Linked DNA regions of Oreochromis niloticus. The protein of the gene in region 1 purifies or fractionates together with the protein of each later gene. This does not show direct contact. Links are inferred from orthologs where the notes say so. Each region holds a gene or a part of one and is shown on either strand. Other genes may lie near its edges. The genes, in order: serine/threonine-protein kinase 38-like and mob2a.

The links.
Region 2: the proteins of serine/threonine-protein kinase 38-like (region 1) and mob2a purify together in Homo sapiens (affinity purification with mass spectrometry; 9 studies listed by BioGRID and IntAct, counting the BioPlex papers as one, with this or other methods). This does not show direct contact. The link is inferred for Oreochromis niloticus from reciprocal best matches to the Homo sapiens genes STK38L and MOB2.

The regions. Positions count from the first base shown.
Region 1 is NC_031981.2:34,725,053-34,735,188, forward strand, and holds the start of serine/threonine-protein kinase 38-like, read left to right. Parts: upstream 1-5,792; 5' UTR 5,793-6,199; intron 6,200-10,136. Other genes in the region: med21 (mediator of RNA polymerase II transcription subunit 21), read left to right, coding at 1,721-1,821, 3,321-3,518. UniProt on the Homo sapiens protein: Involved in the regulation of structural processes in differentiating and mature neuronal cells.
Region 2 is NC_031972.2:60,145,975-60,156,071, forward strand, and holds the start of mob2a (MOB kinase activator 2a), read left to right. Parts: upstream 1-5,978; 5' UTR 5,979-6,102; coding exon 6,103-6,218; intron 6,219-10,097. UniProt on the Homo sapiens protein: Stimulates the autophosphorylation and kinase activity of STK38 and STK38L.

The DNA.
Region 1 (10,136 bases):
GCGGCAGAAATGAGCTTCCTCCGAAGGGTGGCTGGCCTCTCCCTTAGAGATAGGGTGAGAAGTTCGGCCATCCGGGAGGGGCTCAGAGTAGAGCCGCTGCTCCTCCACATCGAAAGGAGCCAGTTGAGGTGGTTCGGGCATCTGACAAGGATGCCTCCTGGGCGCCTCCTGGGTGAGGTGTTCCGGGCATGTCCCACCGGGAGGAGGCCCCGGGGCAGACCCAGGACACGCTGGAGAGATTATATCTCTCGGCTGGCCTGGGAACGCCTTGGTATTCCCCCGGATAAGCTGGAGGAGGTGGCTGGGGAGAGGGAGGTCTGGGCTTCTCTGCTTAGGCTGCTGCCCCCGCGACCCGGCCTCGGATAAAGCGGATGAAGATGGATGGATAAATATAAAAAAAAATTAAAGTTCAAGAGGAGATGAGAGAAACACTCATCAAAGATGGTGACGTTGCATAACTTCTCCACCAGAGGTCACTGTGCAACTTCATTATGTTTGGAATCCAACAAACACAGTAACCAGCTCAACATTATCAGAAACAGATTGCATGTAATTGCCAACTTGAGCCATCGAACCTCAGACTGATATCAGTCATAATGACTCCATCTTATAGTAACATTTATGGCAGTTTTTAATAACAGTGATGGGGGATGCTTGACAATCTCATTTTGCAGTGAGATTACGTCATCTCATTGGATAAAACAGATACTGATAAAGTTTAACTTTGAGGACATAAATTGTACTATATGTTATTGCAATATTTAGCATATCCCATAATGTTGAAAATGACAGTAATATATTGTAAAATTGTGGTATCAAATGGTGTCTGGTGATTCCCAGCCTAGTATAGCTGTGTGTTGGTACATGTCATAGCTGTGTGCTGTCACCAGAGGGCAGTATAACAATTATGTGGAACAGTCTGAGAGCTAGACTTGTTTGCATTTGTTCAGTTTCTCCTTTAACTTCGACCCTGATACAGAAAAGATATGTCGTAATATAAAAATAACTTCTTTGCAGTGAAATGGAACACGGTATTGAAAATTTTCTACGTATCCACTGTCTGTGTTTCTCATGCTGGTTTTTTTATTGTTGATTATTTTTTGCCACTGTTTCCTCTTTGTGGTGAACTCCTCTGTTACTCCCTTTCCTGTTAAAGTGAACTTTTCAGCAAATTAGTTTCTAGTATTATCACTGTCAGCCAGTGCTACATGTGCTGTTGATCTCTTGGAGCACTGCACACAAGCATGTCTGTAGAGGTTGCATACCCAAAGTTATCAGGCTACATGGACAAAATCTTATGCAAACTGACATAAATGCAGTACAGACTGGCTTACATAATGTGGAACAGCTTGTTAGCTTCAAAAAATTTGTCTGAAACAGGAATGAAGACGTCCACACAGTGCTTTGTACAGTAGTCATCCCTGATCATACAACACCGGGTCTCCATCACTACACCTGCATATCATTCATGATGAATGTCTCTCTACAACTTAAATGATTTAGTTTCACCACTTCTTTACATTTTACTCAATATTTAGTGACATTTTATCTTTTCACTCTAAATACTATGGTACATAATGATTTTTCTCTTATAAAAAAAGGGAGGGGGCTACTTTCTGTAGCTCAAAAGCATGTGGAGTGTGTGTTTATGTTCTGTTATATATATTAATGATTTGCATGATGATTCACCTGTATTTTGTTTTTCTTGATCTCTGTTTAGAGTATGCCCAGCTGTTTGCAGCCCTTATAGCCCGAACAGCCAAAGATGTGGATGTACTCATAGACTCTCTGCCCAGCGAGGAGTCCACAGCAGCTCTGCAGGTCAGCACATTCATAAGTACCACTGACTATTTCACATGTGTGTATATATATTTCAATGTATTAATTCTATTTTCCCGTGAGTATTTCTAGCTATCAGTCAGCAGAGGGAACCAGTTAAAAGTTCATACTGTTGCTTTCATGCCAACTTCACAAGTCTCTGCAGAGATTTTTTTCCCCATTAATGTAAAAAAAACAAATAAAAGAGCAGGAGAAATTTACTAATCCTGCTTTGATGTTAGTATTTTTGTCACATTAGCACGCACAGACACTCTTTAGAATAACATTCCATATTCTCTGTTTGATGGGGCAGTGTGTTTTGTGTGTAAGCAAACTGTTTATAGTCTATAGTGAAATATGTTAAAGACAACAACAATCATTCTTGTGTTGATCTCTCTCCTGTAAATAGAAAGATACATGACATCAAATGTCACTTTCCTGTGCACTGCTTTCTACTATTAGATTAGGCTAGAATAGATTAAAGAACAGAAAACTGAGAATAGAATGTTTCCCAGCAAGCATATCTGAGTGCAATACACAGTACTGCCAGTGAGTACCATTACTCACAAATGCCAAATGCCAGTGAGTACCATTACATTAGTAATGGTACTCGGAAAACTTGCTAACTTTTTGATCTGTTTCCAGAGACTTTTATCAGTAGACAAAATGCAAAAACACTTTTAATACTTTATGGCCTTCACTCAAGAGAGAAACAATAAACACCAATTATGCTTAATGTAATTACAAGCTCCACATGCTTTTTCTGACCCGAGTAGGTGCTACTCTTTCTCAAACAAGTATGATATTTATTTCTAGGTAATGTTATAAGAAAGTAAGCCATGTCATTTCTAGCTTTTTATAACTCGGAGCAGTAGTCGTCAGTCTTTCTGAGAAACACCCGAGCAATATTGCATAATCAGTGGTGTTGGGTCTTTTTGCAAGGATACTTCTATTTTCATGCGGGCCACAGGGCAGCATTTTTTAGATCTTAGTGCTGTCAGATGTCAGTGGAATTTTGTGAATGAGGCTTCCACAGCCCAGAAGTTCTGGTTTCCCTGTAGCTCTCTGAGGGCCAACAATACACGCAACTGGTTTTGGATGTAAAGTAAAAAGACATCTGTCATACAAAGCTGTTAGAAACGATCAGCTGTAAGACCACGTCTCAGGAGACTTTCTGCACACATTGTGAATCATGCATGAAATCTCGTCACAGTCTGATGGCAGCTTTTGAACCGTGAAACAGAACTTGTACAAAGTGATTCTCATCAACTATTTAAAAGTTGCTCACACACACCACCTGCGTTGTGTGGGGATATTGGGTGTACCAGGTGGGAATTCTTTTATTATTCTGTCAGTTACTGTGAGATCTGATGCTCCCAAGTTATACAGTCATGATCTGCACACAATTAAAGGAAACCTTCACTCAGTTGTTCACTCAGTTATTTGACGCTTCACAAAAGGGCAAATAAAAACACTTAAGCTGTTTTCATTAAATCTGACAGTCTGTGACCTCTCATCAGGCAGCCAGTCTGCGGCAGCTGGAGGAGGAGAACCATGAGGCAGCAGCTCGGCTGGAAGAGGTGGTTTACCGCGGCGATATGCTGCTGGAGAAGATCCAGAGTGCACTGGCTGACATCGCCCAATCCCAGCTCCGCACCCGCAACGGGGCACCTAGCCAGCCGTCACCGGCTGAATCCTGACCCGAGGAATGCATAATATGATTCTGGACAATTTTCAGTCTTTTCAGCTATTTTTTTTTTCTTTGCCTTCAGCCACAATAGGCCTGCCAAATGTGGTGTGTGTTCACATGTCAAATGTGTGAAAATGTAGATGCTGAAGCGGTTCTGTGTGGATGAGGTCATCTTTATGTTTTTTGTTTGTTTTTGAAACGTCATTTCTGCAGCTCAGCTAAAGAAGGATGAAAGATGGTGTCTTTACATGCACACGGATCCTCTTTTTCCTGAAATTTTTATTTTTAAAAAATGAAAACAAAAAAAAACTTCTCCGTGGGTCTGAGGAGACCAATCTGCCAGGTGTTCTGTGATTTATGTACACTATATGTTATATATTTATGTCTGATTTTGTAGATATTCAATTAAACCATCATAGCTCATCTCTCTGAAGTATTTTCTTTAAATAAACCGTGGACAGCCACATAAGTGTTAATAACGTCCCTTTTTTATATAATTTGCAAACTGTTACCACAAGCATTTGTACATTAACCATGTGGGTGATGTTAATTGTTGGAGTTTGTTCGTGGCATTGCATCAGTTTCGTTTTTTTTCATTTGAACTGATACGCTAGCAGAAACTGACTTGACGTACTGCGAGCCTTTACCAGGAAACGATTACAATTAAAGAATGACCACATTTCAGTTCATGTGACCTTTAAAGGAAATTCTGATGGACACAGCTTTGAGGAACTAAGCTGTGGCTCTTGTATATTTCATAATGTGTTTTGACAAAAACAATAGTGAAAGAAAAAGACTTTAAAAGGAGGGGAAAAAAAACAACTCAATAATCTGGTTCTATCGACGGTTTGAAACGTTTCAGTAAAAGGCATGAAAATTTCACATTACGGAAAGTTATGTATATGCATGTGTTCTGTTCTAACTCCTAGTCAGTCTGATACATGATATAAAAAAAAATCTAAAGAGCAAAAATGACTTTTGTCATATTTGCAACTAAAATATTTTCACAAGTCATGCCGTACAATCTTGATTTTTGCAAAACAAATGCTTTCATATTGGCTGAATCCATTTCAGACTGAACTTTGTGAAACCTAGGCTGCAGGCCAGAGAGTTTATAGCCCAAATCTAAATATAGGTGCTGTGTCACAGCTCAGTGGGCTCCATTGATGTGAGAAATATAAAAACAGCCTTGTCTGCTGGCCACCACACCCAGACGTGTTAGCGGGACCCACCCGCCTGTCTGCATGTTGACATCATGGTCCTAACAGTAAAAGCACTTAACCCGCCCAAATGAGGAGATTTATGACAGCAAATCTTCACCTTTCACTGTGAGCCGCCGTGGTTTGGTCAACAAAACTTTGTCTGTGCTCCAATTTTGTTATCTGCGTTTTCATTCACATGTGATTAGTGTAGCTTCTCCCTTTAATGTTCTTTGTCCTATAGACCTTTGGGATACACAACGTACAAGGAAATGAAAGAGTCCAGATAGGGTGAAGACATTTCTAAGCACCACTGATGGGATTATTAAGGAAACAAGTCAGTTCCCTTTTGAAGGGCTCTACTGTAACAATGTTGGAATGTGGACACATTCATTTCGGTTTCTAGTTTAAACAATGACCACTTTTTAAACGGTTTGGAGGCAGACACGCTGTTATCATCTCAAACTGCTATGGCAAAGGTCTCAGATTGTGCCTTAATAGAAAGTGTTATAAATGTGGACTGTGTGTGACTTTTATCTTATCATACTTTATTACGTTCTATCTGCTTTATTGCCACTAGATAAACGTAGTCCAATAAAATATCCGTGTGGTTTAGATCAGTTCTACTTAAATTTTGAATAGCAGTAAGATTTCAGTATGACTAAATCCTGCAGCTTTTTCATTTAGTCAACAATTAGAAACCTGATGATTGTGTATTGATCACCAATGTGACCTTTTATTGGCCTTACATACCCTCTCATTCATACGCTATTTCCTAATTATGTGTGAAGAACATTTTACGGTAAAGTACCATTTAATCCTTACAAATTATTAGAATAATACCAGCTATTTTTAGTAAGGATTTGCGCTAAGCACAACCAATAAAATTATGTAACAAAGCCTCCAACCGCTGGAGCTACTGTATATTCTTTCATAGCTGCAAACGCTTGCTAACTGGACCCGTCCCCAACTCTTGCAGGGCGGCTTGGATGCTATTGGCCAATCTATCACTCTTATGTAGAGGCCACGTTTTATTGGGCAGAAGGAAACACGGATTCTTTTAGTCATCGCTGATTGGTCGGCGTTAGCGTCATTCAGGCGCTACGCCGTTGCGTTGTCGGAACGTCTGATGAGCCCGACGGTCTCAGGAAGCAGCGGAGCTTATTTCATATTTTGTAGCGATAAAGGTCCGAGGGGAACAGTGTATTTTTGGGGGGGTCGGTTGCCACATGTACAGACGGTAAAATATTTTCAAATTATTTTGGCGTGGGGTATTTTCACCGTCAGAGGTCTTTTGTTATGATTTGAGGTTAATAGCGGCGATGTTTACTGTGGAGCCTCATAGGTTTCTTTAAGGGGTAGCCTATAACCAGAGCCTCTAGCTTCCAACTGCCTAAAAAATTAGGCAGAAACGATATAAGACATTTAATTTCTTCATTTGGGTCGTGGCCTGGCGGCACGCCAATAATTGACTCTGGAGCAGGACACGGAGGTAAGTGAAAAAGATTTATTTAAAAAAAAAAAAATGCTGTCCATTTTTTATGCTGTCCGAATTGAATTTATTAATATAGTTGAACCTGCCACACAGACACGCAAAGGGAATGTAGCAAATAGCTAGCTCGGACAGCATAGCGTCAAACAAGCTAAATACAAGAAAGAAGCAGTGAATATTCTCCCTAGTGTGAGGCATGCAGCAGTGGCGGACCTATGGTAGGAGAGGTCCGACAGGGTGGCGTCAGTGTAGGTGAGCCGGGAAACATTAGCTAAGGCAAACATGTGCATGTGTACATACCGGTAACTGGTTAATCGCCACATGTAAAGGGTGAAAAGCTTTTTAAAAATTGCCATTTTTGCCATACATTTTGTTCACTTCTAATATGAACTGACTGCTCTCTCTGATGGATTGGATTTCAGAATGTATTTGAGATAAATGTCCTTTTGTTAAGTTGTTAATACACTTCAAGTTCCTCTTGCCGGGAAGCATTTTGTGAGTTTTTAAACACACACTTGGCTGTTTAGCTTAAAATAAACATACTGTTCAGGGGAACATATGCTTTCACAGTTTCTCTGTGCGTAAGCGCACATTTGTGTGTTGATTCATGACTGAGTTCTTTCATTCGGGAGGGAAAGGGTTTCCTGTCCACTCACTCCGAGTGCTTTAAGGGTGGAGTGTGTGAAACTGAAGAATTTTTCACACAAAACTGAGAAATTGGTGGTTAACGGTTACACTGAGCTACATCTGTCCTGATTCTTCTTTCTATTCAAAGTAAAGTATTTCTCCAGAAACACCTGCAGCAGGCTGGATTTTAAAGTTCAGTGGTTCATCTGGGTTATAGCTTGCCTGCTTGTATGACATTGGCTTCTTCTCATGCAGATAATCTCAAGCTGATCCACAGATCTCAGAATTCCATTAGGAAATAATTTCTTACTAGCTAAAAATCATTCATGTTGTTCTGTTGGAGGTGTTTAGTACTTGAAAGTGTAGTCAAACAATCTGGCAGCTACCAGCAACACTTTATTTTAAGTGTAAGAAGCTATGTATATATTATGTATTACTTGATTTGTGTAAAATGAATAGATGTTGCCATTGCTGGTGACCTGAGAACAGCCTGTGAAGAGTAAAGGAAATGAGTCTGTGTTAGCTTGTTTGAAAGAAATCTCCATTATTTTCTGATAATTACAGCTGCTTGATAGACGGGAAATCCTCATTAGAACTGGCTAAAAATAATGTTCCTATGGTTGGACGCTTATCTTTCATTGGGACTGAATGCTTTACTGGAGCCACTGGTGTATTTCAGTTCTGGTGGGCTGTTTTAGGCTGCATTCTTAAGTTTCTAAATAGCAAGCCCGAGTTGGTAATGCCTTCCTTATAAGTGCCTGAGTTGCGCAGCCGTGTTTGTTTAGCTGTGGGGTGGATCTGGTTATCTTCAAGCCAACTGAATCCCCTTTAGGCAGAGCTAAGGCCTGGCTGGCTCAGTTATGATGTAACTGTTTAAATTATGGCCCTTTTTCCACCTTGTTGGGAAAACCAGGAAAAAAAAACCTCCATGAGGGGAAATTCTGAGTCTCTTTTCACATATTACGAAAAGCACATCTTTCCACTCATTTCCTTTCGATGTGGATAATCCAGGTTATCCAGTATAGGTTGTGAAAATTTCTTCTTCTAAGATGGATAAAAAATAACAGCTCAATCAAACTAAATGAAAGAACTGAATATACTGTTTGACTGTCATCAAGATAATTTAAACCTAACACCATGTTATCTTGGATTAGTTCAGCTCTATTCCAATAGCATGCAGGCTCTAACTAATATTGGTGCTTTTTCTGCCAGCACAATAGTCATGACACCTTGTTATTCCTAGCCAAGAATAAAATAAGAATGCACAATCTTTATTTTAAGCAAAATTATTCTTATTATAGATAGATAGCAAACAAGCTCTTTTGTATAACCCATTTATCTTAGTCTGCATGGTAACTTATGTGTTCAAGGGGGGGGCTGTGTTATCGGTGCATGTGTGAGTTCAGGGTGGTTATGGTTTTAGGGAAGAAATTGTTTTTGAGTCTGTGGGTTTTTGTGCTGATGCACCTGTAGCGCTTCCCTGAGGGAAGCAGGCTGAACATGTTGAAACCAGGGTGGGAGCTGTCCTTGATGATGTTTGCTGCTCTGCTGAGGCAGCGGGAGGAATAAATGTCCATCAGGGCATTTATTATGAACATACAGTGAAACTCTTGCTCCTCGTACACGCCAGTGTTTATGTGTGCAAAAGCAAATGCAACTGTGTAAAATGCATAAAATAATACTGTTACTTTGTGACAATAAGCACTAAAGAAATAGTCAGCTGCTTTTCAACTGAGCGTCTCCTAGGCAAGCTGCACCTTCGCTTTTTGAACCGCAGCAAACGGCGGTCCTCGGTCTGCTCTCTTCCCTCACCGGTGAGCTCGGTCTGCTGTCAAACTAATCAGCTCTCCGCCTCCTCCTGGTTCTGGTTAGAGTGATGCTCCAGCTCAAATCGGTTCTCTCGGGCTGAACGAGGACTGCTGTCACTGATGTTTGTCTGATTGCAGAATGAGAGAGTCTGGGGACCGGCTCAGATAGGGAAACATGAGATGGGAATGACCCAAGCTAGCTGGTTAAGAGTGACCATTAGCTGTGCATATTGAAGCTCTGTATATGACTCTGTATTTCATTGAGCCCTAAATATTTATCTTGTGAACACTTTATGGGAGACTTCAGGAGTACTGGAGACTCAGGATAGATGTCTGCATGGCAGTAGTCAGAAATGGAGAGACTGCACAGTAGACGACAGTAGTATACATACAAGCCCACAGCAATTGAGCAACAGCTTCTGCTGGGTTAATGCAACACCACTTGAACAAACCACCTGTAGACATGCAATACTACACCAGCTCATAATATTGCTGGTAATTTGTTTACTTGTTATTTATGGTTATATATCTGAAGATTATTTAAGGCAGTGGTGCATAGTTGTAGCGTGGCAACATTTTTTTTGATTCCACAATATTTGGATGGACATTTTGACTACATGCAGAGGATGTGACCCCTCCCCATTTATACATTTAAACGATGGCTCCGTGATAACCTACACTTTGGGTTAGCTAATACGGTATCCTTTTTCTCCAGAGTGCTCTTATCGTGTCAATAAAGTCGTCTAATGGTGAGGATAGGGAGGTATATGTCTATAATTCATGCACTTTCTTTTAAGTCCAGTCTTATTAAACAAGGCCCAGCCATTAGCCGGTGCTTAATCATCAGTCAAAATCATAAATCTAGTCAGCAATTGAAATATTAGCTGCAGTCACAGAGAAATAAACTTGTGTCCCAGAGTGAGTGACATCTAAAGTAGTAGTTTCTAATAGTTGCTGAGGTGGTGTGGTATCCACTTCTTTATGAAGAAAAGTGTGCTTGCAGGTAGAGTACACAGAGGTCCAGTCGTAGCTGATGGAAACCTTAAAAAAGTTGCGTCACATCTTGCCCATGTGAATGCACAAGTGTAAGTGTGCATGCTCAGGGTTGCTGTTTTATTGGTAGGCTGAGCTCCCAGCGTGCGCTGTGTGCAGGTACATCAGGACAGACCTCGCTAACTCAGAAGCCATTGTTTGCTACCGATCCAGTTTTCCTCCCAGTTTGCAGCAGTGATTCAGGATTTTTCTCAGAAGTCAGGAAATGTTTTTTGTTGTTGTGGGATTGCAGAGCCATAACGGGAAAAGGACCGGTGACTAGACGAAACACGGGTCCTATCTTTGGCCTGCAGGACTGTTTTATCTCCTTGTGAGCTAATCAAGCCCATTCATACCTTTTCTGATAGTGAACTGCTAACATGTTGTGATGATATACACGTCCCCCCTTCTTCCTCTTTCTTCCTTACTTCCTTTGTTACATAATATGTTCACAGTCTGTTTTTTTTTTT
Region 2 (10,097 bases), on another chromosome or scaffold:
AAAGTTGTTAAAATATTATTCCCCGTGTCCTTTTCACACTTTATTTTCTTTTATGTTCATCTTACTCAACCGACACCAGCAGTAGTGGAAACTAACTCATTAAATTTTATAGTCTTCAAAGGATGCTGGCGTCTGTAACGTCAGCACAGCTATGGTTCGGTTTCAGCTGTCAAAAAAAGCACACAGAAACTTAACACACACATCTAAGCATCCACACCCAGGGATGGAAAAGTGGAGTGGAAAACTGGGTCTAGCTGTGAGGTTGTGCAAGTTTCAAACAATGTCTGCCTTGAGAGGTCTTTTCCAGTGGTGGGAAGATGCCTCTCAGCTCTCAGCTTCTTCTTCTTAGATGCAAAAGGGAAAAAAATGCACTTCTTTCCATTGTCTGTTTCCTGGTTTGATGGTATGCAGGTGTTCATTGCCAGCAGATGGCAATGTTGATCTGACACCCAAGTCATACCTGTGTGGTCCTCTTCTCTCAGTCTGTGCACATTTTCATTTATACTGTAACCTGCAGCTAATGTTTTGCTTTGGTTAAAAAATGTTCTGAATTTTATCTGCAGTTGGGAAATCATTAAGATAAGTCTGTGCAAATTCCTGGATGCACACAATTGCAGGAAAAGAGATGTTTTTCCTGGTCTTTTTCAACTCTGTATGGGGTTCTGGGAACATGTGAAGGAAAGCTTTTGTGTCTGCAGCAATGCAAAGTTGTTACATATGCATATACCAAACTTTTTGCAATGTTTAAGCTTGTCTAAGTATTCCAAAACTTAGCCACATCTTTTGGTTGTCCTTGATTGAGGAGAATCCCTTTTAAGCACTCAGTAGTATTTTATAGATTAATGCAGGTCATCTGTCTCTCCTTCACCTTAGACTGTTAAATTTCAATAAAAATTGAATGTGCCATGTCATTTTAACCCTTGGAGGGTGTGTGTGTGTGTGTGTGTGTGTGTGTGTGTGTGTGTGTGTGTCGGGGGGGGGGGCTGGGTTTTGGGGGTTTTTTTGTGCACTGTTACACTTGACAGACAGGTGTTTGGCTGGTCCAAATGGTGAGTGCAGGATGCATAGAGACTCTCCTCTCCTAAGGAATGCAGGGAGGAGGAGTGCAGCGGGCAGCCAGGGCATGCTGTGACAACCTCCCACATGATCTAAACTCTTTCACTCTTTGCTTCTTCTCCTTGCTTTTAACTGTTATTCACACTTTTTCTCTTCTGTTTTTCCCCTTACGTCATTCTCTGCGGCTCAACCCTCTCACTTTATCACTCTCACTAATCTTAACTACTCGCTCATTCTCATTTCCTAGTCCTTTTATCCCCCCATATTTCATCCATTTCTCTCAGTTTCATTCTCAGTCATTTCTCACTGACATAATCCACGCAGCATCCATGGTGTTGGTGATTTATAAGCATTTGGATACGAGTCTGGAATTTCTCATCTCATGTCTGCTTCTTGCTAAAGTCCTGTCTTCCTTTAGCTTTAAACAAGAAAAAACACGTCCTCCTGTCTATTACACACAGTCTCTACTTTGCAAACTTTTTCATATTGAAATCAACTCAGTGCCAAAGGTTTGCAGCAAAATGTCTGAACTCCAGAGTAAGCTGACTTGTAACTCGCTTAAAGATGCAGCAGCAATTGATCAGACAGGTATAGTTCTTTGATGCCATTGCTGTTTTTAAATAGAGCATGAAGTTGGAACTCTGTTATGTTTGTTCATGAAGTGCTCACATATACCTCCCAAACAAGAATGTCCAAGTGAATTGTGAGCCAGAATGTAATGCTCTTGATCTCCTTGAGTTACTTTAAGACTGAACTGTTCTCTTTGTTTAACAAAGCTGTGTGTGCAGAAAGCAATGACATGTCTTTGCTTGTAGCCCTTCCCCTGCAGGAATGTAGAGCCAAGAAGAGATGAAGCAAAGGGCAGAAGAAAGCATATGTGCAAAGATTCAATGGCATAAAGGTTGAAGGGAGAACATGGTGGGCAAAGACTAGTTAGTCTTTCCTTCTGTAAGGGGCATGCTAAATTAATGTGAATGTTTTAATGCCATGTGCTTCATATGAATAGTGAGTTGAGACTGGTGTTAAAAGCACAGCTGCTTATTGCACTCTTTATAAGCCCAAAATTGTCTGTACAAAGTATGTGTAAGCACTTTCTAGCTGATCGTAGTCATTGAAGCTGCCTTTTTTGGTGGAGGTTTTGCATTTGCACAGACATACAGACCATACGTGCCCATTTATCTCCACAATTTTGCAGAAGGGAGAAAATTACAGATGTTGCTGCTTTTTTTTTTTTTTTTTTTTTTTTTTTTTTTGGATCAGATTTTTTCTTATTTTTGGTTGGTAGGGGGCCTGGTAGCAGATGCTATATTTTTATTAAACAGATTTTGCTTCTGCAGTTATGTACTGCAGGCCAGGTCGCTGGGTTCATGGTCCAAAGTGTCTCCCTGGCCCTGCTGACCTTTATCCGTGCCTATAGAAAACCCCCAGGCTCTAAAGACCTTCGGTCTGTGCTGTTGTTACTGCTTAAGACCTTACCTAAACACAGTGCACACTCCCACACGCCCAGAATGCAACACCAACAGGTCATATACAGCAACTTGGAACTACTCTGTTTCCGATTCATTTATTTTGGGTTTTAACACGGTTGGGTGCCTGACCTGTCTGTCATTTTGTCCCCAGCGATGATTGGCTGGAGAGTCACTGTGGCCAGACCAGGACTGGTCTGTTGCCAGGCCCCAAGGCGCATCTGCTACGGTCGTGACTCATGTAGCTCTGGCCTGGAATCAGTGTTTTCTTTGTCTTAAATACGTGGAATTTGTCCACTGACTTTTAGACTCAACCTGTTGAGCCAGCTCCAGAGATCACTGTTCACAAACATGTTTTATCCAGAATCTTCTATTCCACTTTATCATTTTAGTGATAATAAAAACTTTCAGCAGATTTTAACACATAAATTTGAATTCACTCGACGCCTTTTGCGCTGTTTTGCTTATGACGTCAGTGCTGTGGTGAATGAATATCTTACATTTCTTACAGTGCTTATTTTTCTTGTCTTATCTGTTGGTCTGATCAGTTCTGACTATAATTATCATGCTTAATGTTGTTTTGGGTTTTTTTACGGACATCAGATTAGGGCTTTACTCATCTGTCAGTATCAGTGATGTCAGTGTTTCCATAAATTGCCTCCATTTATTCTTTTTTTTTTTTTCTTTTCTTTTCACAAGCGTCCTGTTTTGTAATTAAATCCAATCCTTTGGCATCTCTTAATTAGGGTGGTCATTTTTGATTAGTTTAACATCCTTCAAGCAGCTTCCAGGTACTGATAAAAGTCAGTCTTTCTGTGGTTTTGCTTGTTAAACTAATCTACAAATTGTTGTTGCTGTGGATTTTACATCTGTAACCTTTTTTATAGTGGAAAAAAGTTCCTACACTTTCTCAAGAAGTACGCCTTACCCACAAACAAATGGATGTGTGTTCAGAGAATGGAAATTTGATCCTGTATCTGCATTACTGGCAGGTCATTACCGGACTTGGCCTTTTCTATCCAACCTTTCCTGTGTTATTAGTAATTTACAGCAATATCTGTTTTGTTGAAAGCAGGTAGCCTTGTCTGCGTATTTGAGGGGGAGGAGATTGTGATGCCAGCAGGGAGGGAAGAGTAAACCTCTGTGTGAGAGACAAAGGAATGTGGCAGTTGGTTTCCATTCACGTCAGACGTTGCATAAGAGAGGTCTGACTTGTACATCATCAGAATCCACATGGTCACACAGCGCTGCAGACTGCAGTCGTGATCACCTACTGCTCATTTAGTAAAAGAAAGGTCTAGTTTAGGTTAAGAGATGCCGCCTCATCTAATTTTCATGCCCAATTCACTAAAACGTTTTGTTCCCACAAGTGATTGTCGAGGCCAAGCGCTAGTGATCCTGAATGGATGTTTTCTATTTTCAGCAACCACTTGGGTCCAATAGTTAGAAGCAAATTAGTGGAAAGTTCCTCAAGCATGGGATTTCCATTATAGCGACACACTGTTTTCTCGTGATTACATGTAACACTTTTAACAGCAATATCACACTGTGATAGACCACATAGAAATGTGATTTTAGTGTTTATGATGTCCTGTAATGCGTTATTATAAAATTCCTTTTATGTTATTTTTCATCATTAAAATGACACCAAAAAGGATTGAAACTATTAGCAGTTTGAAGAACTTCCCAAAATGACAGTAAACACAAGCAGAAAATGACCAAGAATTGATGCAAATTTGCTGTACATTTTGGAATATTTAGAACTTTTTTTTTTTATGTTGCTGAGACCTGTAGACTTTTGATAATGACATATATATATATATATATATATATATATATATATATATATATATATATATATATATATATATATATATATATATATATATATATATATATAGCCCTCAAAACAAACTACTCCCACGTCTGATTATATATCCCCTTCTTACCTCTTGCTTACACAGTGACTGGTTAAGCTGCACACTTATTTGTTCCTGCTTACACACACACTAAGCCAGACACCCATGGCACCCCCCCCCCCCCCCCCCCCCCCCCCCTTTTTTTTATCAGTTTCTGTAGTCTTTATGATGAGGCAGGCTGATACTATAATTAGCATCTTAAGAACAGAGTCTGTGCCCTGTTCTGGTCTCTCTCTCGCTGTCTCTCTCCCCTCTTCCCCAGACTCCTCACAGCTGGTATCGGAGCCAGAGTGACTCAGTGTGCACCCGTAATGTGGTATGCAGGATGTGGGTGCAGAAAGGTGCCTATCTGACTCGCTGTCTCTTAGATTTTTTTTTTTTTTTAATCCATATAAGGGTTAACCATAAACAAGTACTACATATTCCTTACACACTCTGACAGTCTCTTCATCTTGCTCTTAAAACTGCATTCCCCGACTCAAGGCATGCACATAGCGCTACACAATCCCATAGATTTGTGTCCATGCATGAATCCATACTATAGCCAGGCAGGCACACTAAGTTTTGTTTGAGAAGATGGAGGAAAAACAGACAGTAAAGGAGTGAGGCAGTGAAACGCGCAGAGAGAGAATAAGAGGGCTCATCTGTTGTAAGGCAGTAATTAGAGGGAAGAACAGCGAGGGAATGATAACTTAGTAACACTAGTTGTAATCTTCTCATGAATGGAACATCTTCCACTTGTCTGTGTTCATTTACACTAGCACATTTTGTACTTAAGTGTTGTCGCTTCAGCTCTTTACTGATAATTTAATTAGAATTTATATCATACCTGTGCTTTTAAAAAAAATATCTCAAATGAGAAATGCAAAGAAACCTCCAGATGTTTTTTACAGATCTGCCTTTGGCTTTTAAGCAGGCTTTGTTTGATTGGCTCACTGGTTCTTCAGCTTTTACAGCATGTCTGAACTCGCCTGACTGCTGCCAGCCTATCATAAATGAACTCAAGTGAAGTTCAGAGTGAACAGAAGGAATGTTGCTCAGCATGCAAGACAATTAAAGTGAAGGAAGGTTTTAATGATTATTCTAACACAGGAATAAACGATTTTTACTTACACTTGCAAGGCTTTTCATCCACAATTTTCATTTTCGGCAGATGAGTTTGAGCATTATTTAAAATGCCTGTATTGGTTTTAGTTATATTTGCACCGACTTATTTTGTGAAAGTTAACAACTTTAAGAATGCATATGCAGTTTCACTGTTGTAAACCCAGAAACGGTCATGCTTGTGTAAATCCGTTGTATTAGAGCAGGTATATAAAGTCTAGCGACACCTTTTTATTGTGTTGTAGTCGTTTACCTGCGGACCACCTGTTGCTACATCGTAACTGCAATTCTGGGGAAAGGCTGAACCACGTCCACATGGGCAGACACTGACGTCACAACACCCCACCCCCTTTACACTTTTCTTCCCCTCTGTGATTGGACGAGGGCGACAGAGGAGGAGCGCCTTTCTGTAAAATGTGCTCACAAAGTTGTTTTTTTTTCTCTACCCTACAGTGAGTCACAGCTTCTCATAAGTCCCAGCGTAGTGTTTTTACAGGCAGACTACAGCTTAACAGTATTAAGGAGAGACTCTGACATCTGTCTTCATGTTTTAAGCTATGGTCAGAGACTCTTACTCCTTTTCTGGAGATAAGAAGGTCATGCACCCTCAGAGAAACTCTAAAACCGGACTAAGTTGCAAAATGGTGCTCCAGGCAGTCGGAAAAGTACTAAGGTAAAACTTACAATACTTTCGAATTAAAATATATTTGCTATTAACTTGAGTTTCTACCCTGTGTTGTTGCTTTTAATGAAGCGTGCAGTAGGTTGTTTTAGTGTTGGAAAGCTGCTTTTATCGAAGACGCAAAAACCCGCGTTGCCTTTGCGTGTTGATTTCACCGCCTTCTGATTACAGCAGCGATAACAGTCAAATATTTGTTTTGTTTTTGTATCTAAAACTAGAAAGTCTCTAGCCTGTGGTTAAATCAAGATAAACTTGCTGCCTCTTGTCTGCAGTAATTACACAAGTATTAGGCTCCTGTGATTCTGGGGTCAGTGCAAATTATCAGGATCACCTGAAAACTACTAATTCCTTTCGCTGCAGCTCTTAGCAAAACTCAACAAGAGCAGGAGAAATGTGACACTGTCTTCTCATCCAGTCTAATAAAATATTAAAGACGCCTGTAGTATTTTAACATAGTTAATTGTGTTAGTCACAGAAAATGATTACCCCCCTCCTTTTTTTCCCTTAAAGTAAAAATGATTAAAAGGTCAATTATTTGCCAAGGTGATGTGTAATTAGCCTTTTAGTTTATAAAAAAGAATTTTACTGCTATCTACTGGTCATGATATGAAGGCTCAGACTTAATACCTGAGGAATGCCTGACCCCAATATAAGGGTTAACTGTGTGTTTGTGTGTCATACAACGTGATAGAGCTACGCCAGTTATACAGAACAAATTCGTGTCCCCCCTCTTAGTGTCAGAGACCCACAGTCATTATGACTGTGTTCCTCCAGGGGACAGACAGTCATGTTAATGCTGTGATGAAGGTTCCTGTTACTTTTCAAGTCTTCGGCCAGGTGTGTTTCTTTTCAAGCAGCAGCCCAAAGGGCACATGCCTCACATCCTGTGGTGTTTTATGAAGATGTGGAGAGGGATGGTGAGGGGACTCTCCACTATTGTAGGTTCGCTTAATATATTCTAGGCTGCATATTAAGAGCAGCAGCAGAAAGTGTTGTTGTACAGTATGTTGTCTTCTGCAAGATCTGTGGCAAGTAGAAACAAGTTTTTCTGCTCCTTCTTTCTTGCGAATTCAACCCCTGTGCTCAAGAAATTAGCTGATCACCAAGAAACTACAGCCTTAATGTATTTGCCTCAGGGGTGATTGCGGGGAGGGCGAGTGGTTCCAGAAATCTTGAGTAAAAACTAAATAAAATTACCCTGTTCGGGTTAACAAAGACACATAGTTTGGATTACATAAGGTGGGTGGCACCTTAGAGCTTGTTATAGCTTTTGTTTTAACCTATTTCCTCCTTCAGTCAGTGATTCAATGCCCTTGACTTAGACGCTGGTATGAATAGAGGTTAGACAAAAGATGGCTTTTAGCTATTTTGCCTTACCTGTTCTTGTCTTTTTACAAGTAGATCGATCAGGGTGTAGAGAAATTTGCTTTATTTCAGTATTTTGCTTCCTGTTGTGTTAAATCAATTCAAGATTACACTCCCAAGTGGTTAAGTCCCAAACCCTATTCCTGTTACATGTTTGTTGTTATGATGATGAGGCTCGAATGTGGTGCTCACAGGGGTTTCTTGCATATTGTGCTAGACTGAGAGCCAGTAACTGGGATGTTTGATAGGATAACATGTAGAAGAAGAGGTAGCTAGGACAGGGCCAGTAGAGAGTGTGTGTGTGTGTGTGTGTGTGTGTGTGTGTACATTTACATATGTTTAGGTCTGCACTCTGGCTCCAGTTCTCATTTACTAATTTGCGTGGCTGCTTTCTCCCCCAGTAAAGGCGTTGATTAAGTGGTGACAGCTGCACTGTTGTAGTTTTTGTTTTCTTGTCCAAAAACTAAAATTGGCAAAATATTCAAACTATACTTAACTCTGAATAAGGCAATACTTTTCTGACTTACCAAGGCTGAACGTCAGGTTTAGTCGATGCTTAAGTCAGTCTCTTTTTTTAAGCTCTGTAATGGCTGCTGTGGTGGAGCTTTGGTGCGCTCAGACTGCTTGCTTTTTTCCCCTCTTTGTGGTTTTTCAGGGCAGGGTGCCATTGGGTCTATTTAATTTAAGTCCTGAAATAGATCAGCAGACTTGGAGAAAGCTGCTTATTTAACAAAATAGCAGAGTTCATTCACTCCATCCTGGTCTTATCATGAAATTTCAGTATTATCCCGGGTTTTATCACACTTGTTTGGTTTTTTTTCTTCCTTTTTTTAAACTTGACTAGCATAATAATAGGCTTAGAAATGAGACTGTCACGTGTTTTTTGAGGTCTGGGCATGTTTTATTTCCTCGCAATATGACCTTCAGTGGATGCCAGTGCTTTTTTGGGGGGGGGGGGGGTTCTAAGAAGAGAACAGAGAGTTGCTTTATATTTATACATTTTTGTTTATTGTGCCAGTGCATTTGATTTTTTTTTATTAGTCAAATCAAAGCTCTTGATATAGAAAGCAGCTGTCTAAAAGAAAATGGTAAAAAGAATTTGTCAGTGTCACCCGACCAGATTGCATTAAATGCGTCCATATGCCATTCGTTGGATACCCCTGTTATCGAAAAAGCCAATTCAAGCAACAGTTGTGTAATATGTTGCTTGCTGGGAGCCAGAGGCTCAAGAGGAACATGGGTTTTGTTGAACAGGTTTTCTTTGTTTGTGTTCAGCTCACAGAAAAACCAGTAAAAACTGAAAATGTTGGGGTTTTTTTTTTTTTTGTTTGTTTGTTTTTCCAAGCATTAATGTCAGTGATTTGGTGATATGGGGTGATTTAATAATTTGGTGATATGGAGATGATTAACTATGGAAACAAGAAGTCGGCATGGTCTGAATACTCCTGAAGCAATTTAGTCGCCAATTTATGGTGTTAGAGAAACTACTGTAGTAAATTCTCCAAGATAGGGCCACATTACCGCACTATCCGATGGCATGATTAATTGGAACCAGATTCTGGTAATGAGATGGACTTGCTTTTGGCGCACCTGCAAGAGGGTTCCCCCTTTCTGTTAGACGAGCCTTTTGTAAGAACCAAGCGTATTCAGGATTGATTTGGCCCACAGTCAGAAAATAATCAGCAGTTAACATTTGCACGTCATGTATATGCATGCTTGGCTTGGTTGATGCTCGTGTCTACACAAACAGTCTTTCAGACCAGATAGAACTTGCTTCTTCTAGTTTTTCTCTGGTGGGATCAGGCTCACGACACAGCTGTTGTCACCAGCTGGGTTAGTGGGGCTACTGCTAGGGGTGTGTGTATGTGTCCGTCTGTGCGCGCAACACACACAGCGCATTTGCTCTGTACTTTTGGTTTGTACAAGAGGAAAGGTAGTGAGAGAAGATGGCTTGATGGTGGGGGAGGTGGCATTGCTGGGAAAAGTGAAAGGGTGAGAGTGGATAGCGGATGGAGTTGAACAGCTGTCGGGTCAGTTACTCCACAGCTCTGCAGCACTGTACTTTGCCTAACCTGTGTAACAGCCCTATTTCCTTTTTGTTTTCATTGCAGATAAACACCAGCAGGTTTCTTCCTGCTTCTCACCATCCACTCATAAATAAATCAGGTTTACATGTATCTCTCTATTATGAGGCCATAACGTAGACCTGTTTCTGCTGGTGCCAGGCACACGTTCCTTTTCTCCTCCACACTCCTGACTTCTGGATTGCCCTGATCTGCCCCTGATCTGGCGAGGAGAAAGAGGCATCTGATGCCTTTTATGGCAAAAACTTGCCTTGGAGAACATTACCAATCAGAAGGTTGTGTGAAGGGAGGAGTGCTGGCAAAGAGGAAGTTTTCTTTATCCTAAAATAAACTAATGGCTGCAGACCATCACCTCCCCTTATCCTCAAATATTCATAAGAACTGGAGGAGGCAATTGTGTGGGAAAATTATGAAATTACAA